Linked DNA regions of Canis lupus familiaris. The protein of the gene in region 4 purifies or fractionates together with the protein of the main gene of each other region. This does not show direct contact. Links are inferred from orthologs where the notes say so. Each region holds a gene or a part of one and is shown on either strand. Other genes may lie near its edges.

Evidence for each region.
Region 1: the proteins of SNRNP70 (region 4) and SNRPA purify together in Homo sapiens (affinity purification with mass spectrometry; 4 studies listed by BioGRID and IntAct, counting the BioPlex papers as one, with this or other methods). This does not show direct contact. The link is inferred for Canis lupus familiaris from reciprocal best matches to the Homo sapiens genes SNRNP70 and SNRPA.
Region 2: the proteins of SNRNP70 (region 4) and MRPS26 purify together in Homo sapiens (affinity purification with mass spectrometry; 3 studies listed by BioGRID and IntAct, counting the BioPlex papers as one, with this or other methods). This does not show direct contact. The link is inferred for Canis lupus familiaris from reciprocal best matches to the Homo sapiens genes SNRNP70 and MRPS26.
Region 3: the proteins of SNRNP70 (region 4) and SRRM2 purify together in Homo sapiens (affinity purification with mass spectrometry; 3 studies listed by BioGRID and IntAct, counting the BioPlex papers as one, with this or other methods). This does not show direct contact. The link is inferred for Canis lupus familiaris from reciprocal best matches to the Homo sapiens genes SNRNP70 and SRRM2.
Region 5: the proteins of SNRNP70 (region 4) and TFIP11 fractionate together in Homo sapiens (co-fractionation; 3 studies listed by BioGRID, with this or other methods). This does not show direct contact. The link is inferred for Canis lupus familiaris from reciprocal best matches to the Homo sapiens genes SNRNP70 and TFIP11.
Region 6: the proteins of SNRNP70 (region 4) and CDC5L purify together in Homo sapiens (affinity purification with mass spectrometry; 3 studies listed by BioGRID and IntAct, counting the BioPlex papers as one, with this or other methods). This does not show direct contact. The link is inferred for Canis lupus familiaris from reciprocal best matches to the Homo sapiens genes SNRNP70 and CDC5L.
Region 7: the proteins of SNRNP70 (region 4) and NCBP1 purify together in Homo sapiens (affinity purification with mass spectrometry; 3 studies listed by BioGRID and IntAct, counting the BioPlex papers as one, with this or other methods). This does not show direct contact. The link is inferred for Canis lupus familiaris from reciprocal best matches to the Homo sapiens genes SNRNP70 and NCBP1.

What each region holds. Positions count from the first base shown.
Region 1 is NC_049222.1:113,812,185-113,816,152, forward strand, and holds the start of SNRPA (U1 small nuclear ribonucleoprotein A), read right to left. Parts: upstream 2,801-3,968; 5' UTR 2,646-2,800; intron 2,181-2,645; 5' UTR 2,159-2,180; coding exon 2,086-2,158; intron 1-2,085. UniProt on the Homo sapiens protein: Component of the spliceosomal U1 snRNP, which is essential for recognition of the pre-mRNA 5' splice-site and the subsequent assembly of the spliceosome. U1 snRNP is the first snRNP to interact with pre-mRNA.
Region 2 is NC_049245.1:18,666,901-18,671,142, forward strand, and holds MRPS26 (28S ribosomal protein S26, mitochondrial), read right to left. Parts: upstream 2,629-4,242; 5' UTR 2,538-2,628; coding exon 2,326-2,537; intron 2,232-2,325; coding exon 2,085-2,231; intron 1,992-2,084; coding exon 1,868-1,991; intron 1,163-1,867; coding exon 1,025-1,162; 3' UTR 633-1,024; downstream 1-632.
Region 3 is NC_049227.1:38,744,228-38,748,041, forward strand, and holds part of SRRM2 (serine/arginine repetitive matrix protein 2), read left to right. Parts: coding exon 1-93; intron 94-1,071; coding exon 1,072-3,814. UniProt on the Homo sapiens protein: Required for pre-mRNA splicing as component of the spliceosome. As a component of the minor spliceosome, involved in the splicing of U12-type introns in pre-mRNAs.
Region 4 is NC_049222.1:108,027,958-108,032,215, forward strand, and holds the start of SNRNP70 (U1 small nuclear ribonucleoprotein 70 kDa), read right to left. Parts: upstream 2,894-4,258; 5' UTR 2,690-2,893; intron 2,534-2,689; exon of another isoform or gene 2,271-2,533; intron 2,000-2,270; 5' UTR 1,990-1,999; coding exon 1,843-1,989; intron 662-1,842; exon of another isoform or gene 619-661; intron 471-618; coding exon 408-470; intron 298-407; coding exon 243-297; intron 1-242. UniProt on the Homo sapiens protein: Component of the spliceosomal U1 snRNP, which is essential for recognition of the pre-mRNA 5' splice-site and the subsequent assembly of the spliceosome. SNRNP70 binds to the loop I region of U1-snRNA.
Region 5 is NC_049247.1:20,591,728-20,595,541, reverse strand, and holds part of TFIP11 (tuftelin-interacting protein 11), read left to right. Parts: intron 1-985; coding exon 986-1,139; intron 1,140-1,441; coding exon 1,442-1,598; intron 1,599-3,334; coding exon 3,335-3,462; intron 3,463-3,814. UniProt on the Homo sapiens protein: Involved in pre-mRNA splicing, specifically in spliceosome disassembly during late-stage splicing events. Intron turnover seems to proceed through reactions in two lariat-intron associated complexes termed Intron Large (IL) and Intron Small (IS).
Region 6 is NC_049233.1:12,997,390-13,001,203, reverse strand, and holds part of CDC5L (cell division cycle 5-like protein), read right to left. Parts: intron 2,354-3,814; coding exon 2,273-2,353; intron 1,982-2,272; coding exon 1,739-1,981; intron 1-1,738.
Region 7 is NC_049232.1:55,290,633-55,294,446, reverse strand, and holds part of NCBP1 (nuclear cap-binding protein subunit 1), read right to left. Parts: intron 3,758-3,814; coding exon 3,694-3,757; intron 2,347-3,693; coding exon 2,236-2,346; intron 1,313-2,235; coding exon 1,248-1,312; intron 1-1,247. UniProt on the Homo sapiens protein: Component of the cap-binding complex (CBC), which binds cotranscriptionally to the 5'-cap of pre-mRNAs and is involved in various processes such as pre-mRNA splicing, translation regulation, nonsense-mediated mRNA decay, RNA-mediated gene silencing (RNAi) by microRNAs (miRNAs) and mRNA export.

The DNA.
Region 1 (3,968 bases), about 5.8 Mb from region 4:
TGAGGAGCCTGCTTCTCCCTCTGCCTATGTCTCTGCTCCTCTCTCTCTCATGAATAAATAAAATCTTGAAAGAAAAGAAAGAAAGAAGGAGAGGAGAGGAGAGGAGAGGAGAGGAGAGGAGAGGAGAGGAGAGGAGAGGAGAGGAGAGGAGAGGAGAGGAGAGGAGAAAAGAAGTACACATGCACATGAGCAGGATGAGGGAAACAGGGAGAAGCAGGCTCTCCACTGAGCAGGGAGTCTTGATAAGGGCTGGATCCCAGGACATACCGAAAGGTATGTTCGACCACCTGAACCAGTCAGGCACCCTCCTGATTCCATTTCTGGTATTTCTCTCCCTCCTCCACCCACATGATCTGTTTGGCCCTCGACATTCCCCTGGGCCTCTCTCCCTCCTCCCCTCTTGCCCACTCAAGTTCACCCTCCTGATGTTGTCCTCACACCAGAGGGTCCCTTACCTGGCTCCTTGATGGCCTCATGACAAAGTCTAATGGCCTACCTGCCCACAGGATCCCATGAACCATCAGTGCACTGCTCACTAGAAGGTGCTGCCTGTGTCACAAGCCTCAGTCACACAAAACTACTTGTATTTTCCAGAATGCCCCAGGCTCTCTTTTGCCCCTAGGCACCTGGACACATAGATCTGGGTTCGGAACACTCTTCTTCTGCACAATATATATACTCCTTCCTCTATCTGGAAACGCTTTCTGAAATGTCTCCTTTTCCTTTTTTTTTTTTTTTGTAAAGATTTTTTTATTCATCCATGAGAGACAAAGAGAGGCAGACATAAAAAAAAAGAGAGAGAGAGAGAGAGAGAGAGAGAGGCGCAGACATAGGCAGAGGGAGAAGCAGGCTCCCTGTGGGAAGCCTGATATGGAACTCGATCCCAGGACCCCAGGAACACAACCTGAGCCACCCAGGTGCCCCTAAATGTCTCCTTTTCTATGAAAGAGTCCAAACTCCTCTGTCTAGGTGCCAAATCCCTCCTGACCACTCTGCTTGTGCTTTCCCCATCATGGCCCTGGCTACTCTGGGCAATCACTGGAAGGTCAGTCTCCCCCACTGGACTGTGGCTCCATGAAGGCAGGACCAGGACTGTCCGTCACCAGTGTTTCTCCAGCACCACATGGTACTGGCTGCACATGATACTCTAAGAGCACATGGGGATTTACATAGCTTGGTCCATTTTCCTCAACAGTTAACTTTATTGGTAACCTCAAAATTAATCCCAGCAAACTCCTTCCTTTGGTTCTCCTGAGAATTTTCTTAAGGTGACAAAAAAAGACAAATTTTATCCAAACTTAACTAACAGACAGATATTCAGCTAATTTAATCCACAAAGCATTCACGCACAGAAATACCGGGGATTTGTTCAACTTTCAAATATAAAAAATGAAATTCAATGAGATGATAAATGAAACGAAAAAATATGTCCAATGAACGTTAAGAATCGAGTTCTTAAGCAGTATTTCCACGCTGGTGGCCTCAACCACTTTACCTTGCTGTGTGACTTTTGGGCAACTCACATCACCCCCGCCTGAGAAATAGGGAGTAATAGCTCCTTACTGAAGAATTGTCGAGAATTCAATGTAATAAAGTCGTATGTATCAGTGCCTAAGGACAGTGTTAGCCATCGTATTATCATTTCTTTTTTTTTGAAATGAAACACCTCCACTGTGCGCTGATCATTAAGAACACAAGGCCGTCCAGGCGCTTACCGTCGTGGAGCTCACAGACTTGTGCAGACAGCCCCACAACAGCCCAAAAACAATTGAGGGTTTGAGCGGGAGATATCCAGGGCCTATGGGAAGTCAGGGGCAAGGCACCTGGGGGGAAAGAGGCCGGCGAAGGATTCTTGGAGGAGTCCTGTGAGTTGAAACCCTGAAGGATGAACAAAAGCGACCAGGCTAATGGCCAGAGTAGAAGACGGGCTGGAAGAGCGTTAAAGACACAGGAAGCAGCGTGTGCAAAGGCTGAATTCAGGATTAACTCGACAGTTTGGAGAAAAGGAAGAGAAGTTAATTCGAGGGCTGGAAGAGGGGGCCGGCTCGTGCGAGGCAACCTGGAGTCTGGACTATCCCAACTCACCATCCTTCTTGATCTTCTCGTTGAGGTTGTTGATATAAATAGTGTGGTTGGGGCGGGTCTCGGGAACTGCCATGGAGAGAGGTGCCGAGGTAATGCTGAAAGAAGGGGGAAAAGGTTAACTTCAGCCCCGGGTTTCTCCAAATCCTCTGCCCTAAAGCAGGCTTAACGAGCTGCTCGGGGATGGGGATCTTCCTTCCAGGAGGAAGTCCGGAGAGCAGGGAAGGAAGTACAGCTAGGAAACAAAGCGAAAGCAGGACACCGCTGCTGCTCCCCGCGTGGTTACCAGAAGGAAATCTCGAGAGGCTTACTACGAGTCCCAGGATGCTCTACGGGGTCCAGTAGGCGGAGCGTCCTAAGCGGAGACTCTCATTGGTTCACGAGCTCAAAGGGCGGCCCAGGAGAAAAAACCCGGATACATGAGCCAGTTCAGGAGACGGCTCTGGCGCCCTAACTTCGCGCAGCGGCAAGTGAATTTCCCCACACGAGGCACGAGAAAGCCCAGGCGGCAAGCGCTCCGCCCGCCCGGCGTCCACGGCCGCGTGCGCCCGAGGACTACTCACCAACAGAGTCGCAGTTCCCGCAAGCGTCGCCTCCTGCGCTTCTGAGAGCCGACTACAAAAGCTTCCTCTCTTGGTCCCGCCTTTAGCTTTCTGCAGGCCAATCCCGCGCGGAAACTCAGTAGCCTGACCAATCAGAGCCAGCCTCGCCCCTGGGTCCAAAGGTTGCCAATCAAAACGACATTTGGGTTCCCGCCTCGGTAGGAAAGCCCCGCCCGACGCTGCACCGAGGGTCTACGGACCAATCAGCGAAGGCCGCGCCCCCTCACGCGCTTCCTGCCAATGGGGAAGCCGCTCGCGCTTCAGTCTCTTCCGGGGGCAGTCCTTTGAAAGCCTCTCCTCTCCCGCCCCGCCTTCTCTCGTCACGTGACCCTCCAAGGGCACGAGCCGCGGGCCCCGCCACGTGATACGGGAAAAATGTGTGCTGCGGCCGCCATTTTGGTGGAAGGGGAGGCGGGCTTTATCTTCCGGCTCGCCTGCGGCTCCCAGCGGTGTCGCGGCTGCCAGCGCCCTCCCGTCTCTGTGCCTTCCCCAACCCAGAGGACTTTTCCTTTTGCGCTGATTCCAGCACCTTCTCCACGACTAAGTCATTCTCCTTGCCGGGTGTTTTTTGATCTCTTGAGCGCTGATTCAAAGGTCAGCTCCAAGGTTCCGAACTGGGGCCCGGGATGTGAGGGGTTTCAGAGCCTAAATTCCCTAGTCTGTAGCCCCGGCCCCCGAATCCCACCCGAGCGGGGCCTTCCTTTTCCCAAAACTGACTCGCGAGTTTCCAAACCTCGTTCCGGATAATACAGTAACTCTTAACTACCCTCCCCCCCCACCTTGAGCCTTGCAGCCCAACCCCACACCAAGATCTAGTTGCGGATAAAGGACCCGCCCTGTTAACTTCTTAGATCCCCTGATGATTTGAGTCCAAATGTCAGTCCTGGTTCTTTTGAGTCCCACCGCTCAGCAGTCAAGTTCTGGAACTTCGCTCTAAAACCCTCAGAACGTCCATCCCAGCGACAAACCTATTTTAGAGGCTCCAACCGTCTCCCATTCTTGACCTCCCAGCACTTGCATGCTGTAGACCCCCAAAATGATTTCTCCGTGCCCTCCTCCTGAAGAGCCCCCAGCCGCTCCTCAGACCCCTGTTCCCGAAGCCCCCATCACTCCACTTCCTCCTCCACCCCCGGCAAGTCTCCAGGCCCCTATCCCACCCCCTCCTCTGCCACCTCCACCCCCTGTCAGGGGGCTGGCTCCCCCTCATGTCTTTGGCCTGGAGAAGAGCCAGCTCCTGAAGGAAGCCTTAGAGAAAGCTGGCCCAGTCCCCAGCAGCAGAGATGA
Region 2 (4,242 bases), on a different chromosome or scaffold from region 4:
GTGCTAGATAAGCCACATTGATCTTCTAAAGGTCAATCAGGCCTCTTGCCAGTACCAATATGGTGTGTAGTCCAAGGAAGCTGGTAGTGCCAGGGCCATGTGGGTCATGGAAGCCTTGGGTAGAAAGGGCCACTGATAAAGAAATGGGGTTTCTTCCTTACTTCTGTGCCTTGGGCACACCAGACCTCAGCTGGCAAATCTTAGGATCAAGCAGAAGCGGGTCTTTGGCCAGTGGTTAGCTTGTGTCTCTGCTGCCCTTTTGTTACCTGGATACTCTGGCTAGAGTCCTAAAGCTCTAGATCAGGAGTTGGCAAACTTCTCTAAAAACCCATGTAACATGGGACACCTGGGTGGCTCAGTAGTTGAGCGTCTGCCTTCAGCCCAGGGTGTGATCCTGGAGTCCCAGTATCGAGTTCCACATTGGGCTCCCCGCATGAAGTCTGCTTCTCCCTCTCCCTGTGTCTCTGCCTCTCTCTTTCTGTTTCTCATGAATAAATAAATAAAATCTTAAAAAAAAAAAAAAAACAAAAACCCATGTAACAAATATTTTTTACACTTTGCAAGTCAAATAGTCTGTTACACAGCTCATTTCTGCCATTATAGTGTGAAAGTAGTCAATGAATGAATGTAGCTGTGTTCCAATAAAATTTATTTACAAAAACAGGCAGTAGGACAAACTGGGCCAAAGGACTGTAATTTGCCAACCTCTGTCCATGTCCTTGATGACACTTAGACCGAGTTGATCGAGGGGACTGTGGTCCATTCTGCGCCACTGTGAGCCACTGTGAGCTGGAAACCTCTAAGGTCTGCTGCTTTGCTGAGTCGTACATGGGTGTAGAACAGGACAGTATGTATGGGAACTGCCAACCAGGTGGTGGGTGCAGGGCAGAATGTGAGGAGGACACTGGAATAGGCTGAGCCTCCTTCTTCCTAAGCAACATCAACAGATCTATTCCAGATCAGGCCCAACCCTCCTACCCCATACACACATGGTCCCTGGGTGGGCACTGTCCTTACTGGACCCTTACGAGCCCTTATGCTGTGGTCTGACCACCAGCCCTTCCCTGGTGATGGCCCAATTGTAGCTCTTCGGCGGCGAGTCCAATGCTTCTTCCACCCGTGCCTCCAGGTTCTCTCGGGTAATGAAATTTTTTGCTTCCTCCTATTGGGAGACAGAAAGCTACTGAATGGAAGTCTCCAGCACAGGCCTGCTGACCTTTAGCCCACTGAGTCTCCAGTTCTCCCTCTGGATGGATGCTTGGAGCCCAGGTCCTCTGTGACCTTCCAGTGGAAGAGTATCAGGCAGCCTTATCATATTCCTCTTAGATAATTATCCACTGGACATCTCAGCCAGAACTCCAAGCACACCAGTTGTGACAATCTCGAGTCCCACTGGGTTGAATGTTGCCTCAATGTCCCTCGTTAATCTCTGTCAAACTTGTTCTCCGCACCCCCCCATTACTTTAATTCAGACCTCATCCACTCTTAATGGATCACTCCCAAATGGTCTCCCTGCTTTTTAGTCTCACACCTGCCACCCTAGCCCAAAATATTAACACTTCAATGACTATACCCGCAAAACAAAATACCAACTCCTTGTGGAACTGGGGGCCCTTCCGGGGTAAGAGGCGGGCTTACCGCCACCTAGCTACTCGGATACTTTACAATTCTAATGTCAACTCTCACCTCTGGGTGTCTGCGCCCGTCACTCTCTTTGCACTCCTCCCCCAAATCCTCACCTGCTAACTGAGCCTCAAGGCTGCTCGCTCCCTCAGTGCGCTGGCCAGTGTCCCACTGCGCCGCGCCCAGGACTGCCGCCCAGGAGTTGTTCCCGGCCCTTAGCTCCAGGCCCGGAGACGCGACCCACCTGCAGCTGCAGCACTTCCTGCTCCTTGAGCTGCGCCCAGGCCTGGGCCTCTCGGGCCCGCCGGGCTTCTTCCTCCGCCTGCCGCTGCTGCTGCTCCCGCGCCTCCTGCCGCAGCCTAGCTAACCTGGGGTGGGGGCGAGGGCAAGAGGCTGAGACTGCGCGCGGCTGGGTCTGCCCCGCGCCACCAGCGGCCTGCCCCGCCTCCCGGCCCACTCACCGCAGCTCGTGGAGCCGCTGGTTCTCCGCCTGGTTCCAGGCCATCAGGTCGCGGTGCTCGGTGGCATCCTGCAGCGCCTTGCGCTCTGCCAAGACCCCGGCCCGGGCCTCGTGCGCCTTCTTCCGCACCTCAGTCACGAACTCCAGCCTGGGCGGAGACAGGCCCGCGGTCGGCACCCTCTCCGCCCGCCCTCCGCCTCACAGCCCACGGCGCCGGCGGCCGCCCCCGCCGTCACACACACCTGAGGGCGCGCACCGTCTGGCGGTACTGCCGGTAACGCTCCGTCAGCACGAAGAACTCTACGGGATCCACCGTGGGCGGGGTCGCCACGCGCCCGACCTTGGACTTGGCCGGAAGGTCGTGGCGGGTCTTGCGGCCGCGCACGAGGAGCAGCAGCGGGGCCGGAGGCCCCCACCGGGGACCCGCGCCCCAAACTCTCAGCGCGCAAAGCATGGCCGCAGCCTTCCCGGTTCCGGCGCGCCGCAGGGCATCACGGGGCCCGGAGACGACCGCGGGGCACCACGGGACGCGTAGTCCGCGGGCCCCGCCCCCACCCCCGGGAGCCCGTAGGGCGGGGCGGCGCGCGCAGGCACACCTCCGCGGGGTCCTCGGGCCCGGGCCTTGGCCGCACCCTCCCTGCAGGGCCTGCCCCGCCCCGCCCCGCGTCCCTCCCGCCGGCGGGCGGGGCCCACGTCCCCCAACCCCCGCGCTGGAGAGTCTCAGAGCGGGTGGGCGAGGGACGGGACAGAGGAGAGAGCTCGAAGCAGCAGCTTCAGGGGCTTCGTATCTTTATTGGAAGGCGACAGGGCGCGGTGCTCTAGGTCCAGTCTGTGGGGGGAGGAGGTGATCATTTCAGAGGACGCCCTGGTCACCAGGCTGCTCGCCTGCGACCTTGCCCGCCCTCACCTCTCCCGACCTGGTCCGCCAGGCGGCCAGCTTGCTCTCTCGTCCTGAGGACCCCCTTGCCGGCTAGGGAACCCAGCGTGGGGGCTCTGGAGCTCCCTGGGCGTTGCCCACCCCAAACAAACCTGGTTTGTAAAAACCTGAGCTCACACCAACTTAAATTACGTAATGTTTTTGCCTAATACGAATTTACTTTTTCTCCTTCAGTTATGGCTTTCCCGTGCACTTTAAAATAAATGCAAAATAGTAATAATAATCCATCGCTGCACACTGGTCTTCTGCAATCACTGCATTTCTAGTGCGTCAGCCTTGGTTCTTGGGACCCCCTTACCTAATAGTGTAAGTTCACACCCCTCACCTCTTTTCACTGAGGGGCTGCTCACCTCCGGACATATGGGCTTCTCTTGACAAGAAAGAAGCCTGGAGGACCCTAGTACAGCCACTGTCTTATGGAGGTTTTCAGTAGAATTCTCTCCACTCCACTAGTTACTTCTTTTAATTTAACATAAGTATCTTATCATAAATTGTCTAGAATTCTGGGAAATAGGAAGGATAGCAGATAGCATCCTGCTGTGTGCCCAGGGGTCGTCTCAGTTTTAGCTCATTACTCCCCTCTTTTGTCCACATATCCCCCAAGTCCTTAGCCACAATGGCCCCTGCTGGCCAATGCCAGGCCTCTCCCTGTACTTACTAGCAGTGTTTGCACCAGGTGCTGCTTTCTACAGAGGGGCCACCAGCCTGTAGTTCTGCCCTCCCAGGGCACACTGTTCTCAGGGGGAGCCAGGGAATTGCTTGGGAGGTTATGGGCGGTCTGGTCTGGGCCGTTTGCTGCAGTGCCCAGGACCCTTCCTCAGAAACGAGCCAAGGCTGTGGCCTGCCCACTGCTCCTACCCTAGGCTCACAGTAGGTGAAGGAGCCCCAGCTAATACCTTCTTCCTCCCACTCAGGCGGGGGATACCTTTAACCCACCTTGGGGGCAGGTGGGGGTGGCTGGGCTGAGCTGGAAGCTCCCTTTCCTCCAGGGTACCAGCCATGGGACCAGTGCTGAGCCTTCGAGGGTCCAAAATGAACAGTCAGCAGCAGCAGCAGGAAGCCTAGCCTGGATAACAGCACTCAAGACGACAGGCGCTTCCATCCATAACTCTTTCCATTTCTTCCAGGGCCCCTTAGACACCTGGCACTTCAAGGATAGCTTGTGTTTCCTAATGCCCTTCCCTCTTCCCTCACTGCCCCTCATCCAAAGACTCTTGGGATC
Region 3 (3,814 bases), on a different chromosome or scaffold from region 4:
GAACCAGGTACCACTAACACAGGGCAGCCTAGCAGCCCAGAGCCATCTACAAAGCAGCCTAGCAGTCCTCATGAAAAAGATAAAGAGAAGGAGGTATGTTTCTGAGTTAATGGATGTTTATTGGGTTGCAGGGTTAGGATGGATGTTTAAAGAGAAGGAAAGAAGTGAATTTGGTTCTTTTTGATCAAGTTCTCTTTTGTATTTACAAATTCTTCAGAATTCTGGTTTTCAGACTGCTGGCTATTGATAGGTTTTATGTCATTGTCCTTTAATGTGTTTATATACAGTCTGGGTAAAAGTTTATTTTTTCTAAATTATGTTTAGCTTTACTATCTGTGATATCTAGGCTTTTTTATTTCCTTAAATGCTCGTTTCCAACCCACTGGGTTGCTGCCTGCAATTTGAACACGCTACTATACCTGTGCTTTAAGTATGTGTCGTTTTATGGGTATTCTGATTGAGCCTTATTCACAATGTTTTCTTACTTCATAAATTCCATAAATAGTTTTTTGCTAAATTCTTAGCTCTTTGTTCTTTTTTTCACGTCATCAAGTTTTCTAACTACAGGATGGATCACTTCAAAAACTTAATGTTTTTTTTTATATTTAAAGCTCTTATAACTATACCAACTGTAGTCTTATTTACATAAGTCATGTCCTCGAACCTTTGCCTTTGTTTTTTATTTCAGTATTCTTTTTCAAGGGTGAAGTTAGATGCCTCCCACTTTAAGGGAAATTGCTTTGCTTCTCAATTTAATAAAAGTGCCTTTTTTTTATGTTGCCATGGCACTTTGTTACGGTTGTTAGAAAATGTCATATGTTAGTTTACATTGTGTTTTTTCTAGATAATAAGACTTTTAAAGTGATAGCCTGTCCATATTTTCATGTTTTCCCCACTGTCTTTTTATACGGTCTTTCGTTAATGAATGACTGCCTGTGGTGAGAAAAGGACCAGTTGGTGTGATGGGGTGTGTGAGAGGAAAATTTCATTGGAAAGGGTGTTTGGGGTCTTTTAGGTAATAGGAAGTTCTGGTGCTTATGTTCCTATCCATACTTTCTTTTCCACTCTTAGAAATCTGGAATTCGACCTAGCCCCTCTCCGGAAAGGAGCAGCACAGGCCCAGAACCACCTGCTCCCACTCCGCTCCTTGCTGAGCAACATGGCGGCTCCCCACAACCCCTTGCAACAGCCACCTTAAGTCAGGAGCCAGTGAACCCCCCATCTGAGGGTTCCCCAACCAGGGGCCGTTCACTACCTAAGTCTCCTGAGAAACCTCCCCAGTCTTCTTCAGAGAGCTGCCCACCATCCCCTCAACCTACCAAAGTTTCTCGACATGCCAGCTCTTCCCCTGAAAGTCCTAAACCTGCACCGGCTCCTGGGTCCCGCCGAGAGATTTCTTCTTCTCCCGCATCCAAGAGTCGCTCACATGGCCGGGGAAAGCGGGATAAGTCACATTCTCATACCCCTTCTCGAAGAGTGGGGAGGTCCCGTAGCCCTACTGCTACCAAGAGGGGGCGATCTCGGTCTCGAACCCCTACCAAAAGGGGTCATTCTCGGTCCCGGTCCCCTCAGTGGCGTAGGTCCCGGTCTGCACAGAGGTGGGGACGTTCCAGAAGTCCCCAGCGACGTGGCCGCTCTAGGTCTCCTCAGAGACCAGGCTGGTCTAGAAGCAGAAATACCCAGAGAAGAGGCAGGTCTAGATCAGCAAGGCGAGGCAGGTCACACTCTAGATCCCCAGCCACTAGGGGCAGATCACGTTCTAGAACACCAGCCCGTCGGGCCAGGTCTCGCTCTAGAACACCTGCCAGGCGGAGGTCACGATCCAGGACACCTGCCAGACGTAGGTCACGCTCTAGAACACCAGCCCGGCGGGGCAGGTCTCGCTCTAGAACACCTGCTAGGCGCAGATCTAGGACCCGGTCGCCAGTACGACGGAGGTCTCGTAGCAGATCACCAGCCAGGAGAAGTGGCAGGTCACGCTCTAGAACCCCAGCCAGACGGGGTCGGTCACGCTCTAGAACCCCAGCCAGAAGAGGGAGATCTCGGTCTAGAACACCTGCAAGACGAGGACGATCTCGGTCTAGGACACCAGCAAGACGAGGACGATCTCGGTCTAGGACACCTGCAAGACGAAGATCTCGTAGTAGAAGTGTAGTTAGACGAGGAAGATCTCACTCTAGAACACCACAAAGAAGAGGCAGATCTGGTTCATCATCAGAACGGAAGAACAAATCCAGGACGTCACAGAGAAGGAGCAGGTCCAACTCAAGCCCAGAAATGAAAAAGTCTCGCATTTCTTCAAGGCGGAGTAGGTCTCTTTCTTCACCACGGTCCAAAGCAAAATCTCGCTTGTCTTTGAGGCGAAGCCTTTCAGGATCATCTCCATGTCCTAAACAAAAGTCTAGGACACCACCAAGGCGCAGTCGCTCTGGATCATCCCAACCAAAAGCTAAGTCCAGAACACCACCGAGGCGAAGTCGGTCTGGTTCTTCACCTCCTTCTAATCAGAAATCTAAGACACCATCAAGACAGAGTTGTTCCAGTTCATCTCCTCAACCTAAAGTGAAGTCTGGAACACCACCAAGGCAAGGGTCTGTAACAAGTCCCCAGGCAAATGAACAATCTGCAACACCACAAATACAGAGCCGTTCAGAATCATCACCTGACCCTGAGCTGAAATCTGCAACCCCTTCAAGACATAGCTGCTCCGGGTCCTCTCCTCCTAGAGTAAAATCTAGCACACCTCCGAGACGGAGCCGATCTGGGTCATCCTCTCCACAACCCAAAGTCAAGGCAATAACATCACCAGTCCAAAGCCATTCTGGCTCTTCTTCTCCTAGTCCTAGTAGGGTGACATCTAAAACACCGCCAAGGCAAAGCAGATCAGAGTCTCCTTGCTCCAAGATGGAATCTAGATTGTTGCAAAGACAGAGCCGTTCTAGGTCCTCCTCACCAGATACCAAAGTGAAACCTGGAACACCACCAAGACAAAGTCACTCAGGGTCTACTTCGCCATGCCCTAAAGTAAAGCCCCAAACTCCATCAGGGCACAGTCTTAGTGAATCAAAATCACCATGTTCCCAAGAGAAGTCTAAAGACTCACCAGCACAAAGTTCAGGATTCTTCTCTCTCTGTCCAGGAATAAAGTCTAGCACACCACCAGGAGAGCTGTATTTTGCAGCCTCCTCTTTGCAACAGAAAGGACAATCTCAAACTTCACCAGATCCTAGATCTGATACTTCAAGCCCAGAAATGAAACAGAGTCATTCTGAGTCTCCATCTCTGCAGAGCAAATCTCAGACACCTCTTATGGGTGGCCGGTCCAGGTCCTCCTCTCCAATCACTGAGCTGGCACCCAAATCTCCAGCAAGACCAGAAAGAAGGGAATTGTCAAGTCCTAGGCTAAAATCTGGACTGTCTCCTGAGCAAAGCAAGTCCCAATCTGACTCTTCCCCATATCCTGCAATGGACTCTAAATCTTTTCTGGGGCAGAGTAGATTGGAGCCTTCTGAATTGAAAGAGAAATCAGTCTTACTCCTTCAGGAGGATTTTACTGCATCGTCTCCCATACCAAGAGACAAATTGAGTCCTCTTCCAGTGCAGGATAAGCCTGATTCCTCACCAGTACTCAGAGAAACACCTAAAACCCCGTCAAGGGAAAGAGGTGGTGTTGGATCATCTCCAGATACGAAAGACCAAAGTGCGTTAGCTAAGCCAAACCAAGATGAGGAATTAATGGAAGTGGTAGAGAAATCTGAAGAATCCTCAAACCAGGTTCTCTCCCATTTGTCTCCGGAACTTAAAGAAGTGGCTG
Region 4 (4,258 bases):
AATGGCCCCTCTGAGTGTTCTCTCCTGTAGGACACAGGTCCTAGGTCCTAAGGCTCCCTCTTACCAACCCAGACCCCATGCTGTACTCCTTAAATGCCTCAACCAAACATGGTGTTTGGCCAACTTTGTAAACTCAAAAAAGTGAACCATCCCACCTTCCCAAATTAGAGACCTGGGGTGGATCAGTGGGAAAGAAAAGCAAAAGGGTCTGAGGAAGAGATGGGAGAGGAAGAGAAACTTACACATTTTTAGCTCTGTCTCCACTTCCTGCTGTCGCCGTTCAATCTTTTCTCGTCTCTGTCAGAAGAAAAGTGGACAACTGAATGCAGATGGAAGTGCCCTGATGTCAGGAAACATGCTAGAAAGTGGCAAAAAAGATGTGGGGCCAAGAGGTGCAAATTATATACCTTCCTCTCCATGCGTTCCTCCCGGGTTTCTGCTCGAGTCGGGGGAGGGGCATCTCGAGGGTCCTAGGAAAAAGAAGAGGTGACAGGTGGGGAGGGACAGGGAGTTGCAAGGGACACCCATCCAGAAAACATTAAGCACCTCAGCCACTCACCTCCCCCTCCCCACCCACCACACACAAGCAAACATGGGACACCTCCCAGACCAATGGACCTGGGAGAATAGCAAAGATCAAAAGCACGATCCATGGACCAATGCTGTCCTCAAACTGTTGCTGGTCTGTGACAAGAGAGGTACAGAAATAAGAACTCAGAAACTTCTATAGCAACCAAATAGAATAGTTTTATACCTACTAAACTTAATAAAAATCTAATTCTTTATTCTAGAATTTTTAAGGATACTAAGAGTCAAAATAACTTTGTATTTATCAACATCATCACTCTGCAAAAGATTAATCCTTTATCACAGGTGGAGATTGGGACCAGGGCTGAAGCCAAAGGAGCTGACAGAACAGTTCAAAAGCAGTAACTGGACACCTTCTGAGGACCAGGACAGTTCTCGAAGGGCTCACCAACCGCTCATTAAACTGTAACTACCCCATGACCTGCATCATCAAGGGTGCCACGGGCCTGTAGCCATTAAATTAGTTTAATTAGCTAATAACATTTCCTAAGGACCGGTTCACCAAGGGTGGCAAATCCTACTAAAGAATCCATCAATCTTCTGTTATCTCTCCACTAACTTCTGCTCTGCAGCTTCCTCCACCTTCAGCTGCCCTTTCTTATTTGACACCAGAACTTTCCCTTCTGACTTCTGGCTGTGTGCCAGCATTTCTCAGGTGTGCTCTGATACACCTCTTTCTTTAGTATATGTGTTGCGGAAGCGATCACTCTGATGCACCTCTGATGCCGTTTTCCCCATTTTACAGATGAAAAGACTGAGGCTCAGAAGCCATAGTCACATATTTGTGTTTACCCTGCAATTGCAGAGCTGAAATCTTCAAGCCCATACAAACACCATCCCATTAATAACAAAACCGGTAAACATGGTAACATTGACAATTGCGGACTACTTGGTGCCAAGCCCTGTGCCGAGTTTCGCAGTTAATTCCCTGCCAATGTTATGAGGAAAATACTATTAATCCCTTGCAAAGATGAAGAAATCCACCAAGAGCATACAACACTTGCCCAAAGTCACACAGCTGATAAATGGTTTGTGCCAAGGACTGCCTGACTCCAGAGCCTGAATCCTCAACAGCTAGTTACTCAGTTTCCACAAAAACCCTAGGAAGAATGCATTACCAACCCCATTTAAAACAGAGGATCAAAAAAGTCCCCTAACTAAATTGCACAGCTAGAAAAAGTCTAGAAATTGGACTCCCAAATCCAGCTCCCCGGCCCCCAGAACCCAAACCACAAGTCTGCTCAGTGAACTCACCTCAAATTCTCGGATGTAGGGTGCAATGCCACAGTAAGGTTGATTGTGGTGTTTTTCATGTGGCAGTTTCTCCAAGGGTGGCAGGTATGGGATAGGATCACGGGGAGCAAAGAGGGCCAGAAGGTTGGGCGGCAGGAACTGGGTCATCTTGCCAAGTCTGAGAGCAGAAGCAGGGCAGCCTTATGTTAGGGTGACTGGGTAGAGATGAGGCCTCTATAATCCCTTGACTCCCAAGAAAGAGAAAGAGGAGCAAGATCTCAGCATGCAAATAGATTCTGTAAGAGCCTGGTTGGATTATAATGAAAACAAAGACGGAAAAAGTTCCTGATTAGTTAAGTCTCAAAGTCCCGAGCAAGAAGACCGGGGGCGGGGGGGGGGGGCGGGTGCTCAGAGGTTCCTTGGGAGCCTGCGGGGAACTTGATTCTTACGAGAGAGGTCCAAAGCAATGGCGGCTGGGGGTCTCGCACCCCTGAAAAACAGGTTACGGGGGCGGGAGTAGCAGGAAGTCTCCAATCAAGGGAAGAGGCTCAAAAGCAACAAGCCCCTCGAGCCAGGGGCTTGTGGGTAATAGATCCAGGCCCCCCACCGGCGAAAAGAATTGTGGGTAAGGGTCCAGGCCAGAGCCGAGGCGAGGAGAAAAAGGCAACACGCCGCGAAGGCCTGTGGGAAAGGGACCGCGGGAGAGCTGCGGGAAGAGGGCCTAGATTCCCAGAGGACTCTGGGTAAGGGTGCAGAGAGGTGCGGTGGCGCGGGAAGGGGGCCCGGCCGCGGGGAAAAAACTGGGGCCCGCCGCAGGGGATTATGGGTAGCGGCTCCGCACCCGGTAAGGCCAGTCAGTCACACTTACCCGCCGCGCGGCGCCCTCCTCGGCCTGGCGACGGTCCGGGGGCTCGCGGCGGCTGCGGCGGCCCCTCAGCAGCAGAGGCTCCTGCTCTGACTTCGACTCTGGCGGCGTCTGCGTCCGTCTACCTCCGTCGCCCGCCCAGCGCGCGGACCAGACCGCTGCTCACGAGCCCGCGCGGCCTCGGCTCGCGACAGGGGCAAGGGGTGGGACCAGCCCCAAATCCCTCCGCCAGCCGCGCTGCGCACGCGCCGCGCGATTAAGCCCAACCCATACACAGGGACCTGGCGCCGACGCGGGCACTGCGCACGCGCCAGGTCATTTCCCCGCCCCCGGGCACCTTAAACTCCTTTACTGCAGCCGCTGCAGGCCGCAGTGCGCACGCGGGTACCGCACCAAGCAGTAACCCTTTCCACCTTGCGCTTCTGAGTCCAACTGCCTCTAAGCGCGAGACTCCTCGATGCTCCGCCCCAACACACTTCCCGGGTCTTGTACGCATGCGTGTGATGTCGTGTACGATAAAATACCCCTCCGCCGCCTGGCAAAGAGTCCCTACGTGAGTGGTGTCATTACGTTGACGTCTAACCTGTTAAATCAGTGACTGTTCATCCAGCGGCTAATGTGTGCTAGACGCTGTTTGAGCTCTGAAGATCTAGTACCTGAGGAAGGCAAAGTCTTTTTCTTCTTGCAGCTTACATTGTATGGGAGGAGATGATAAAGGCATTTTAAAAGAATATATTTTGGGGGATCCCTGGGTGGCTCGGCGGTTTGGCTCCTGCCTTTGGCCCAGGGCGCGATCCTGGAGTCCCGGAATCGAGTCCCGTGTCAGGCTCCCGGCATGGAGCCTGCTTCTCCTTATTCCTGTGTCTCTGCCTCTCTCTATTAATTAATTAATTAATTAATTAATAATTAATTTTGGGGACTCTTGGGCGGCTCAGCGGTTGAGCGTCTGCCTTCGGCTCAGGGATCTAGTCCCACATCGGGCTCCCAGCAAGGAGACTGCTTCTCCCTCTGCCTGTGTCTCTGCCTCTCTCTGTGTGTCTCTCATGAATAAATCAATAAAATATTTTTAACAATAAATTTTGGACAATGGCCAGCAAAGTTGAGAATAGGGCAGGGGCACCTGGTTGACTGAGCACATAACTCGAGTTTAAGCCCCAGGTGGGGGTGGAGCCTACTTGAGAAAAACAGGACATAATAAAGGGCTTGGGCAGTGAAAGTGGGGTTATTTAGAGAATAAAGAAGAGTTGAAATCGGATCCCACCGAAAGCTGATCTCTGTGGAAGGGAGATGTGGGCGAAGTTAACAGCAAGTGCAAAGGCCCTGGTTTAGGACGGGTGGCAGGAATCCCACGTTGCTGGCCATGAGATCTGAGAGCTGGCAGACGTGTTCCTTAGGGCCCTGTAGACCTGTAAGGAGTTAAGTGTTGTAAGTTTTTTGGATAGATTCAATGGCCTGTTTAATAATAATCACGGCAGTTATTGCAAAATTTAAATTTCATGGTTCAAGAAACATGTAATATGAAAGCACATACTTTTTTTGAAAGCACATACTTTAATTTTTTTTTAATTTTTA
Region 5 (3,814 bases), on a different chromosome or scaffold from region 4:
CCATTGACACTGTGCGTTTTTCACAAAGGAGGCTGGGGAGAAAGTATGGAGGTCAGATCAAGTCCTCATCTGGCAAGGAAACCTAAAAGTGGGTGATAAATAGATCAGAGGTCAGGAATTAACATTCTCTATAACCATAAGATAGTACCTTGTTCTGCACTCTACGTGCTTGGTATCCTTCACCTTGTGAGAAAAGTAGCATCATTATCATTCCTTTTTTCAGATTAAAAAACTGAGGCCAAAAGCACATAACCAGGCTGTAAGAAACTGGGCCTGACTCCTGAGTCTGGGTCTCTACGGCCTAAGTTACATTGCATTGTTTAGGAAAAAATGCTACTGCCATGGGGATGGTTAGTGACAAGTTGGTCATTTTATAAAGGTAACCAGGAAATAGGACATTGTAAGGACTGTTCTTGTGACAGTTGTCAACATTGATACTCTCTATCTCAGAGTTAATTTCTTAGGTATTTTACTTTAGTTTTCATACGCAAATAAAGGTAATGAAGGTGAAACTTTTCTAAGAGTTTGACCAATAAAATTGTTAATATACTTTGCATTCATACAGTTTCTTTTATTGTGTTTGATGATGTTTATCTATCCGAAGTTCTTTCTTGCTTGATTTCTGTACTTGAAACACGGGGTCCAAAACAAATGATTTTAAAGTTAATTTTAAAACATGTAAAAGAGTTGCGTTATCACATCATAGTTTGCATGGTGTCCTTTCACTTTTGTTGAGACAAAATCAATACAGTGTGTAAGATCATATATTGCTGTTTTAATCAACCTTGCACTGACAGGTAACAATGTTACCGTGATCACAGGAAGTCAGATCTGAGGCGCTTTTGGTCTAAGTGAATAGGTTACTCTTGTAAAATGGATCCCTGGAGTTCCCCTCTCGGGGGATCTCAAGCCGGCAGAGTGTCCACAAGGGATCGCTGCAGAAGGCTTCCTTAAGGCCCCCTGGGGGCTGTGTGTTTGCCCACAGGGCCCGCGACTACTCTGCACCAGTCAACTTCATCAGCGCCGGTCTCAAGAAAGGGGCAGCAGAGGAGGCTGAGCTGGAAGATTCGGAAGATGAAGAGAAGCCTGTTAAACAGGATGACTTTCCTAAGGACTTCGGACCCAAGAAGTTAAAGACGGTAGCATCTTTGGCTCAGGCTTGTGACCTTTGAAATGTCTGTGGGAGGTCGTGGCAGTTCAGGCATCTCCTACAGGAAGAGGGGGGCGCTTGGTAGAAGCTGGTTATGTGGGTTTCTCCTCGTGGTAGTGGGTCCCTTCGGGGGGGCCATGCAACCTCTTTGCTGACACGTCGTGCAGCTCTGCTTTTGGTTCGTATGACCCTTTTCATGATGCTCTGCCAGGTCTTTTTCCCATCATCCAAGTTTGCTTTCTTAGGTTTTTCTTTTTCCATCAACTAAGCTTTGGGTTTTTTTCTGCTCAGGGTGGCAATTTTAAACCCAGCCAGAAAGGCTTTGCAGGAGGAACCAAGTCTTTCATGGATTTTGGCAGCTGGGAAAGACACACAAAAGGCATTGGACAGAAGCTTCTTCAGAAGATGGGCTACGTCCCTGGAAGGGGCCTGGGGAAGAACGCACAAGGTAGGGCACCAGCACCCTGCAGCCGAGCAGGAGGTTGGCAAGGCAGAGGAAGGAGGAACGGTCTGGGGAGTGGTTTGCTTTTTCTCTTTTTTGGAGGATGTGAACTCTGCAGCCTGGTTTGCCAGCACCAGACGGTTGTTCTCAGCTACCTGCTTTGTCACACTCAAAACACTTCCTCTGCAGAAAAAAAAGGCTTAGGCTTTTTTAGGAAAAGGCTCAAACAGGCTACAAACAAACAGGCTGCTTTCTTTGGCCTGTCCAGTGTTTCTTAAGAAATGAGCTTGTTGGGGATCCCTTGGGTGGCTCAGTGGTTTAGCGCCTGCCTTTGGCCCAGGGCGTGATCCTGGAGTCCCGGGATCGAGTCCCACGTCCGGCTTCCTGCATGGAGCCTGCTTCTCCCTCTGCCTTTGTCTCTGCCTCTTTCTCTGTCTCTCATGAGTAAATAATATCTTAAAAAAAAAAAAAAAAAAAAAAAAAGGAAAGAAAGAAATGAACTTGTTGCCAGTATTTTAAATAATTTTACATAAAGTTTTTGATTTGCCTGGCAGCAGTTGGTTTTAGCTGCCGAGGACGGTGCTCACGGCCTCTGGAAAGCAGCTTCCAGCATTCCCTGTTGGCTTTTGTCCTGGCACGCTTCACTTTACGGCAGTTTTCCTGGGCCCTGGAGGCAGAGGAGTCTAACCTTCCCTGCTCACAGTTATTTGTCCTTCAGGAGTAACAATGAAATGCTGTGTGTAGCCTGTTCAGCAGTAGAGACTGTAAACCTGGCTGAGCAGATCCCGCACTGGGGCCTCTGTTGGTGCTCAGCGGCCCAGCCTCCTGTCCCAGGCACTGTCCACACAGCTCTACTCACAAATCCCTGTTTCCTTGATACCAAAGCTACACAGACCATGCACTTGGGTTCTTCCTGCAGGACCTTGCTTTCTCTCTCCTTGATCTGTTTCCTGTGAGCAGTCACCAAGTGGATGTAAACAGTAGTAGTGTCAATAATCCAGATTCCACTCCCTGAGTATTTGCTCAGGTTACACCTGGGGTATGTGTTGAACATATCAGTTGTAGGGAAAGTCCAAGAACCTCTGTGGAGTCTGGAGGTGGTGACCTGGAATGAGCACGAGTGGACCGTCCTAATTCAAGATTGCCAAAGTACTAGCTGTAGGGGTGGGTAGGCAGTCTTTGTTGAAATGCTAATGTCTTGTCTCTAAACTCTTGGAACAAAAGTTATTTCCAAGGTTTATACTCACTACGAAGCAAGTGAAGTCTGGGAGACAGGAGCTACCAAGTGATACGAGGTCTCATACTGAATTGCCACTTTACCTCCCTTTATTCTGTGAGAGTCTGTAAATCACTTGTCTTTTTTTGTTTTTTGTTTTTTTAAAGATTTTATTTATTCATGAGAGACACAGGGCGAAGGAGAGGCAGAGACACACAGGCAGAGGGAGAAGCAGGCTCCATGCAGGGAGCCCAATGTGGGACTCCAAGAAGAATCCAAGTGTAAATGAAAACCTGTACTTAGACTATAAATAACCTAATGTCAGCAACCTGTCGTGTGGCCCATAAATGCTCAGAACTTTCACATCACATGGAAGCTGAAGTGTTGCAGGGGCAGAGGAGAGCTTGCCTTCCTGGGTTGTCACTCTGTGTCAGGACTAAGGAAGGGCAGTTCCACTGTGTGGCTTGTCCAAATGCAGGAATCGCTGTGACCTGAAGTTGTTTTCTCTTCTGCTGAACTTTATCAGGTATCATTAACCCGATCGAAGCGAAGCAGAGAAAGGGGAAAGGTGCCGTGGGAGCTTATGGCTCAGAACGCACCACTCAGTCCCTACAAGACTTCCCCGTGGTCGACTCAGAAGAAGAAGCAGAAGAGGTAACTGGGAATCAGGAGTCAGGGTGGCTGGGGCCTGAGCCACTTCAGACCGTGGCTGCTTAGTTCGTGTATCTGTTTGTCCGTCTGCCAGCCTTCAGGTGTTCATTGTACACCTCTGTGTCAGCCACTATGCTGGAGCGGGGCTGCCCTGTGAGGAAGGGTTGGGAGCCCGGGCCCCAAGCCAGGCAGTTGACAAGCAGCTGCAGGGTGGTAGTGAGCGCAGGGAGCGCTGAGACGTGCCAGCGAAGGAAGTAAGGGGGCAGTGGTAGTGAGGTACATAAATCAATAGAATGGCCAGGGAAGGCCCCTCGGGCCGGGAACCATCGGGGGATTTGTGGCAGAAGGCAGGAGG
Region 6 (3,814 bases), on a different chromosome or scaffold from region 4:
AAATACAAAAGACTTAATGGAAAATCGTGTCTCTAGAAGATAAAGAATACACTTTAAAACAGTATCTCTGAGGGGAAATAATGAAAACAAATCAATTGTAACATCTTTAATGAAAATCTGACACTTCATAAGAGAAATGGTATTTCATTCCCAAACTGTACATAATAAAAATTTATAAAATCAGCTCCTATAATTATAAGAAGAGAGTATGACTAAGTTATCTTTAAACTCTCCATAAAGAATCTAAGTAAATAGCTGTTTCAAATCCTTTTTGGAACGGAGAGGAATATAAATACATACATAAAATATAAAAGAATATTTAAACTAGCCTGTAATGGTTTCAAATAATTCCAAAGCACTACGTATTTTTCAAAAACTTTATTAGAATCTATCCCCTACAGAATCTTCTATTAAGCTACAACAGATCATAATGTGATCCTTATTTTGGTTTCCATAAATACAGTAAACCCCTTGATCCCATCTTCCCCTATTTTCCCTCCGAAAAAAGAACACTGTTCAAGTACAGAATTCAGAGTGTAATTCTTAACCCCAGTCCAATGATTAAATGTGCTTGCCACAAGAGGCCCTCAACAGATGTCAGTTTCCCGTCACACTTACTAAAATGAATAACTCAGATCCTCAGAAATCACAGGCAAACTGTTTAAATATAAATCTAAATAAATCCTCTTTCCTTTCTCTATTTTCTCAAAATCTTTTAATAAACATATATTACTTCTCAACAAGGAAAATGGAAAGAATAAGACAGAAGAAAAGCACAAGAAAAGACAGAAAAAGGTATCTTATGGATTTCCTCCCAAGTATGCAATAGCAGATTCCAACAACGGGTCTGTCTGTTCCTCAAGGCTAAGCACTACAGAAAAAAAGACTAATGGCTAATGACCACTCTGCTTCCAACCATGGCACCCACTGTATTTCCTCATACCATGGAAGAAATGATTTCTATTCACAATCATAGCTGTTTGCTCTGTCAAAGCAGAAATAATCAAATGCATATGGAGAAGAGGCAGGAGAGACTTTCTACAGGAAAACGTTTCTCTATTTCCTTATCCAAAAGAATAGTGGGAAATCAAGTAAAAGGAATAAATTCAGTAAATGGTATTTCCTTTCTTTGACTAGGTGAAAGAAACATTTTGAATATGTGCTTGCTTTCTCATATTAATCTAAATGAGGTTTAAGTTTTGTTTTTTTTTTAAGATTTTATTTATTTATTGAGACACAGAGAGAGAGAGAGAGAGAAAGCAAGAGAGAGAGAGGCAGAGACACAGGCAGAGGGAGAAGCAGGCTCCACGCAGGGAGCCCGACGTAGGACTCAATCCCGGGTCTCCAGGATCACACCCTGGGCTGCAGGCACCGTTAAACTGCTGCGCCACGGGACTGCCCCAGGTTGAAGTATTAAAGGTATTCAATTCTACTCAGAAATAGCAGTTGAACACAGGAAGTGGCAATTGTAGCAACTGTCCATCAGGCATATACCCATAAAACAAAAACACCTTGCCACCTAAGCTAGTGTTCACCTGAAGAAGCTCTATCAAGAAAGGGGAAAGGGGCATGGTCAAGTATGTCGTCCTCCTAACACGTCATATGACCAGCTATCTCCTAATTACAAATTCATTTGTTTATAAATATCAGCCTCAGAAAATAAGCTACTGTTCATCTATGATACACAGTACTGAACCAATACTTTAATCAAGACCAAAATATTTCTGTTTAATCATACCTTTTTCAGCTCTTCTTTGGAGAATTTTTCATAAGGGTTGTGTTCCAGATAGGCAATGTGTTCTGAATTATTAGTACCAAATCCTACAGTTTTCCCTTTTTTATTTCCAGATGGTTCATAAGGATGATGTAGAAGGTCATAATGAAGCATTGTAATCATTTCTTTTTTGATTAGTTCTTCACTTTTTTGTAAATCTGTTAGAGGTGGTTCTACATTTAGGGGTCTTAGAATCGTTTCATTTACCTAAAATTTTAAAACAAGTACCATTAACAAACAGATCACTGCAATACTGATGCTATTACTTACTTGCCCTAGCATGAATTAAATAGCAGTTTTACATTTTAAAAAAAAATTTTTTTCCTTCTAAAGTCTTATTTGTACCAGTGAAACATTTTAAAGATTAGATCTGCAACTGCTTTACTACATTCCAGAAAGTAGATAAAATTTTGTTTTACAGACTTTATGAATGACATAAAAACAGCAATCACAAAGAAGAAACTTAAAACTTCCAAAGCCAGAAGTTCTAACACTTACTTCTGATGGTCTTGGCAGATCTTTCTGGACAGCTTTGTGCATTCGTTTCATTTCCTTTACACGTTCTGCCTCTCGTATAGCCTTAAAAAATTATTTTTATATCCATTATTACAGATATGCAATATTTGCCGCATTTCAATAAAGTTGAAAACTTTAGTCTATAACAACATGCATGCTCAAGAGCTAAAGCTGTAGAAATCTGTGTAAGTTTGTAGAAAGACAATAAAGCAACAGAAATCAGTCTATTCACTCTCTCATTACAATACAAACTAAGAATTGCCAACAGCTACTAAAGCATTCTCCAAGTTTACATGGCTTCATCCATCAGATAATCATTTTTTTCTGTTTAAACTGGAATCCTAATAAAAATCCTCGAAAAGAACACAAGCAGTAATGTCCCTGACATCAGCTGTAGCAACATTTTTCTAGGTAAGTCTGAGGCAAGGGAAATAAAAACAAAAATAAACTATGGGAATTAACATCAAAGTTAAAAGCTTTTGCACACTGAAGGAAATGATCAACAAAACTAAAAGGCAACCTACTGTATGGGAAAAGATATCTGCAAGTGACATATCTGATAAAATATATAAAGAACTCAACACCAAAAAACAAATGATCCAATTAAAAAATGGAAAGAAAGAAAAATGGGCAGAAGATGTTAACAGACAAAATTCTCCATGATGACATTCAGATGGCTAACGGACACATAAAAAGAAGCACAACATCGCTCATCATCAGGGCAATGCAAATCAAAACTACAATGAGATAAGGGCACCTGGATGGCTCAGTTGGTAGGGCATCTGACTCTTGATCTCAAGGCTGGTGGCTCAAGCTCCACATTAGGAGTGGAGCTTAGTCAAAAAAAAAAATTGTTTTAAGACCTATAATGAGATATCACCTCACACCTGTCAGAATGATTAAACTCAAAAACACAAGAAACCAGTGTTGGTGAAGGTGTGGAGAAAAAGGAGCCCTTCTGAACTGTTAGTAAGAATGCAAACTGGTACAGCCACTGTGGAAAACAGTATGAATAGAACTGCCCTACAATCCAGCAATCACACTACTAGACATTTACACAAAAAAAATACAAATATAACTCAAAGGACACATGCACGCTTATGTTTAGAGCAGCATTATTTAAAATAGCCAAATTATGAAAGCAGCCCAAGTGTCCATGGATAGATGAATGAATAAAGATGTGGCATATGTATGTTTCTGTGTATATATGTATGTATGTGTGCATATGGATAAAGAAGATGCAATACACACACACACACACACACACACACTCTACAGTGGAATATTATTCAGTCTTTAGCCATAAAAAGGAATGAAATCTTGCCATTTGCAACAGACATGGATGGAGCTAGTGCGTAACGCTAAGTAAAATAAGTCACAGAAAGACAAATGCCATATGATTTCACTCATATGTAGAATTTAAGAAAAACAAAACAAACCAGCAAGGAAAAAAGAAAAAAAGGAAAGGGAGAGAGAAAAGAGAGAAACCAAGAAACAGACTCTTAACTATAGAGAACTAACCAA
Region 7 (3,814 bases), on a different chromosome or scaffold from region 4:
CATTTACCCTCTTGCTGCAAATCCTGTAATTCATCTTCTCCTAAAAATAATGGTCTCCTACTCGCTCCTTCTAATAGTATTATTCTTTTTAAGTGAATAACAGAAATGATAGAGTGCCTTTTTTGTGCCACGCACTATATACACACACACGTGTGTGTGTCTGTAGCCGAATTCTCACAATAACTTTCAAGTAATGTACTATTTTCCCCATTTCGTGGACAATAAAACAGGCAAAAAAAAAAAAAAAAGATTAAAGGAACTGCAGATAATTGTATAAATGGCAGAGGCAAAGTGTAGTGTCTCATCACCACACTATGCCCTTTTCACCACAAAATATACATCTTTTCCCCTAAAAATACATCTGATCTAACTAGATAGAAATCACCTGAGCATACTGTGTAATGTTGTAAAATCTGCGAGAGCCCAATATATATTTGCTGAATTTCAATAACATAATTGGGTTGTGCAACTCCTAGTTTTATGAGATTGGGAGAAAAATCAGAAGATGCTATCTTAGAGCATGTCCCTCATAGATCTATAATTTCAATCACTGACTCAGGTCTGATACAGTGCTTAATGATAATTTTCAGATATGCAATCTGAACAATGGACACGAAAGATCATGGAAACTGGAGAAGTGTTCAGTACCTGGGTCGATCTGACTGTGGACACTAACAGAGGTAAGAAAGATACCAGCTGATAAAAGTGGTAGACGGGTCTCCGTCAAAAGACAGTGGACATGCAATTACCACACCTCTAAAAATCCAAAATGGTCTTTTGTATAAACTGAGTCTTCAAGCTGTAGTTATGTAGAAGCTAATTATTTAAGAAAAAGATACTATCTATAAACAAACAAAAATACATATATATTTATACATAATAAATACACAATATTAGGTTCTGCTTGTGCACAGGGGTGAGTACAAAGTTTATTTTAAAATCTTACATACCGAATTACAAAGGAAAAAGTATAATTATACCAAAGCACAAAAAAAAAAAATTTAATAATGAATGAAATTAAAGAAAACCTCAGTATGGCCATCATTTCCTATTGGAAGTTAGTAGAAAGCATGATGTTACATTATAAATTTTATTATTATACAAAGGGTTATTTTGGGGAGACAAGAAAGAAAAATCAACTTAGAAATTCTCTAAAAAGGCAAATATTTTGCTGATTAAATTCTTTTATACAGTACAGGGAATAGATGCTTCTTGCAATCAGTATAGAAATAAGACAATTACTATACCTGTCTACACATGTAGTGTTCATCGTGTCCAAACGCATATATAACATTTCAGTTGCCTGTGCAAGCTGTGAATTTGAGGATAAGGAAAACTACTCTGAATCCTCCCTCAAAATAAGTTGTGACAGAACATAACATTTCTTAGAAGTCATGATGACTAACAATGCTGAGCATCTTTTCATGTAATTGATTTTTTTAAAAACAGCTGCAGTTATCAGTCATATACAATAAATCTGACTTGTATACAACCCTGAACTAAACAGTGAATATTTATATCGCCTCCAAACTTTCCCCATGCTCTTCTGTAATCCTCTTTCCTCCTCCCCCAACAAGCAAATATTGGTCTGGTGTCACTGGATTACTTTGCATTTTCTATAATTTTGTGTAAATGGAATCATGTAGTATAAATTCTTGTTTGACAACTTTTATTCATCCTACTTAATTTGCAATTCATTCAAGTTGTTGCCTGCACCAAAAATTTGTTCCTTTTTATTGCTGAGTAGTTTTCCATTGTATAGATATGGCAAATTTGTATATTCATTCATGTACTGATGGATATTTGGATTGCCTCATTCTGGGGTATTACAAATAAAGTTTTTTCTTTTTTAAAAGATCTTGAGAGAGAGTGAGAGAGAGACAGAGAGTAGGAACAGGGGGGAGTGGAAGAGGGAGAGAGAGAAGCAGAGCAGGGAGCCTTACGGGGGGCTTGATCGCTGGACTCCGGGATCATGACCTGAGCCAAAGGCAGACGCTTAACTGACTGAGCCACCCAGGTGTCCCACAAATAAAGATTCTATGAACTTAATGTCCAAGTCTTTGTAGGGATATGTGTTTTCATTTCTGTTAGGTAAATACCTAGGAGTGGAGTGGCTGGACTGTGTGGTATACTTATGTTTAACTTTTGAAGAAATGGCCCCCACAGTAAGAAACATTTAATAATCTTTTAAAGCCAGGTCAAAGAGAGTAAGTTTAAAAACAAAGGAAAGGATACAACTTGGGGTAGAGAGCCAGGCTGGAGTTTGCACAGCTCGATAAGCAGTGTTGTGTACATCACATCAATGTGCGGGGGTGCTGGAAGCTGAAACAGCTCTGCAAAAATCACCTATAAAAGAACCATGAGTCAGAATGCTGTTCAACAAGTATCTTTGTACTTCCATCAGAAAGATCAACATTTTAAACGTAAACTCTTTAACTCCATGGCATTCATAATGAAAAAATAATTACTTTATAATCTTTAGAAACTATACTCTTTAAGACATGGAGATTTGCAATTGAATACTGTAATGAAAATTTCATCGTTCTATAACTCAATCAAATAAGAATATGCAGAAATTAATGCTTATTTGATACTCCCAGAGAATAGTGCAATTAAATTCCTACTCTGGAAGTATCAGAGTTGATTCAGGCAGGTACTCACTGATCCATCAGTTTCACTCCTAGAAGCAGTAAAAACCCTCATTAGATTCTGAAGACAGGAACAGAAGATAGTCAAGTCATTCCAGGCTGCTACTTAAAAACCAGTGCCTGGCAATCTCTTTGGTAGAAAAAGATTACTTTGCCACCGCTGTTGTTCAGAAACTTGTTTCTGCCCTCCCTATATAATTCATGAACCACCTACCTAGAATTCTAAAACCTGGTCTGCATTCTTTCTTCTCATTCCCATCTCCCATCCCTCTGTATTCCCTTCTGATAAAATTTTACACTTTCCAGATTCGAAATTATGACCTATATTTTGCATTTCAACTGACGTGTCAATGAGTCAAGTTCATAGCCTAAATACACTCTTAAAGTTTTATAAGATAGGACAAATGCAGTACTTTTGGGGAAGCACACAAATACATGTATGAACAGTAAGTGAATCTGTAATAATAAGTGAATGCTATTTTGAGACTTAAACCTCTACAAGGTGTTCACCCCTCCGCATGACTTGATATGGGGTCGAAAGTATTATTGATTCTTCCTACTTTCAAAAACAATGGGCTCTTCTAATTTCTAGGAATAAATAAAGACTCCTATCTCTCCCTACCGTGTGATACAGGGAATAATAATATACTAGTCAGGGGTATGCTGGTAATAAGAGGCCAGATAAACACAGTTATCTGCCTATGTAATATGGTATTTTAAAGTATTCAAGCCAATTATCTATCTGATAAGTGGACAGTGTACTCACAAGACTGGAGGTAACTTATACTATCCATGAATGAAGACATGCTATATAAATAATTTAGAGGCACTGCAAAATTCCATTTGGCTACTGGCCTCAACCTCCACTTTTGTTTTTACTAACATGGCTAAGAGAGCACAAAATTGACAGCAATTTTCTTGCTCCTGTGTTAATTTTCAGTACCTGACAAGTTGCAAGGGGAAAAAAAAAAGCCAAGAGTTATTAACTTTCAAATCCATAGAAAGATTCTGAAACTTAGAAACATGCTCCATGTGGAACACATACCTCAACTATGTGGTAGTTCAAGGGGATCTTGTTCTTCCCTGGATAGCTCACCAACTGTGCAGCACTATTGAAAATTTAACTGAAGTTTAATAAGTATACAAAGATAAATAAAAAAATCACA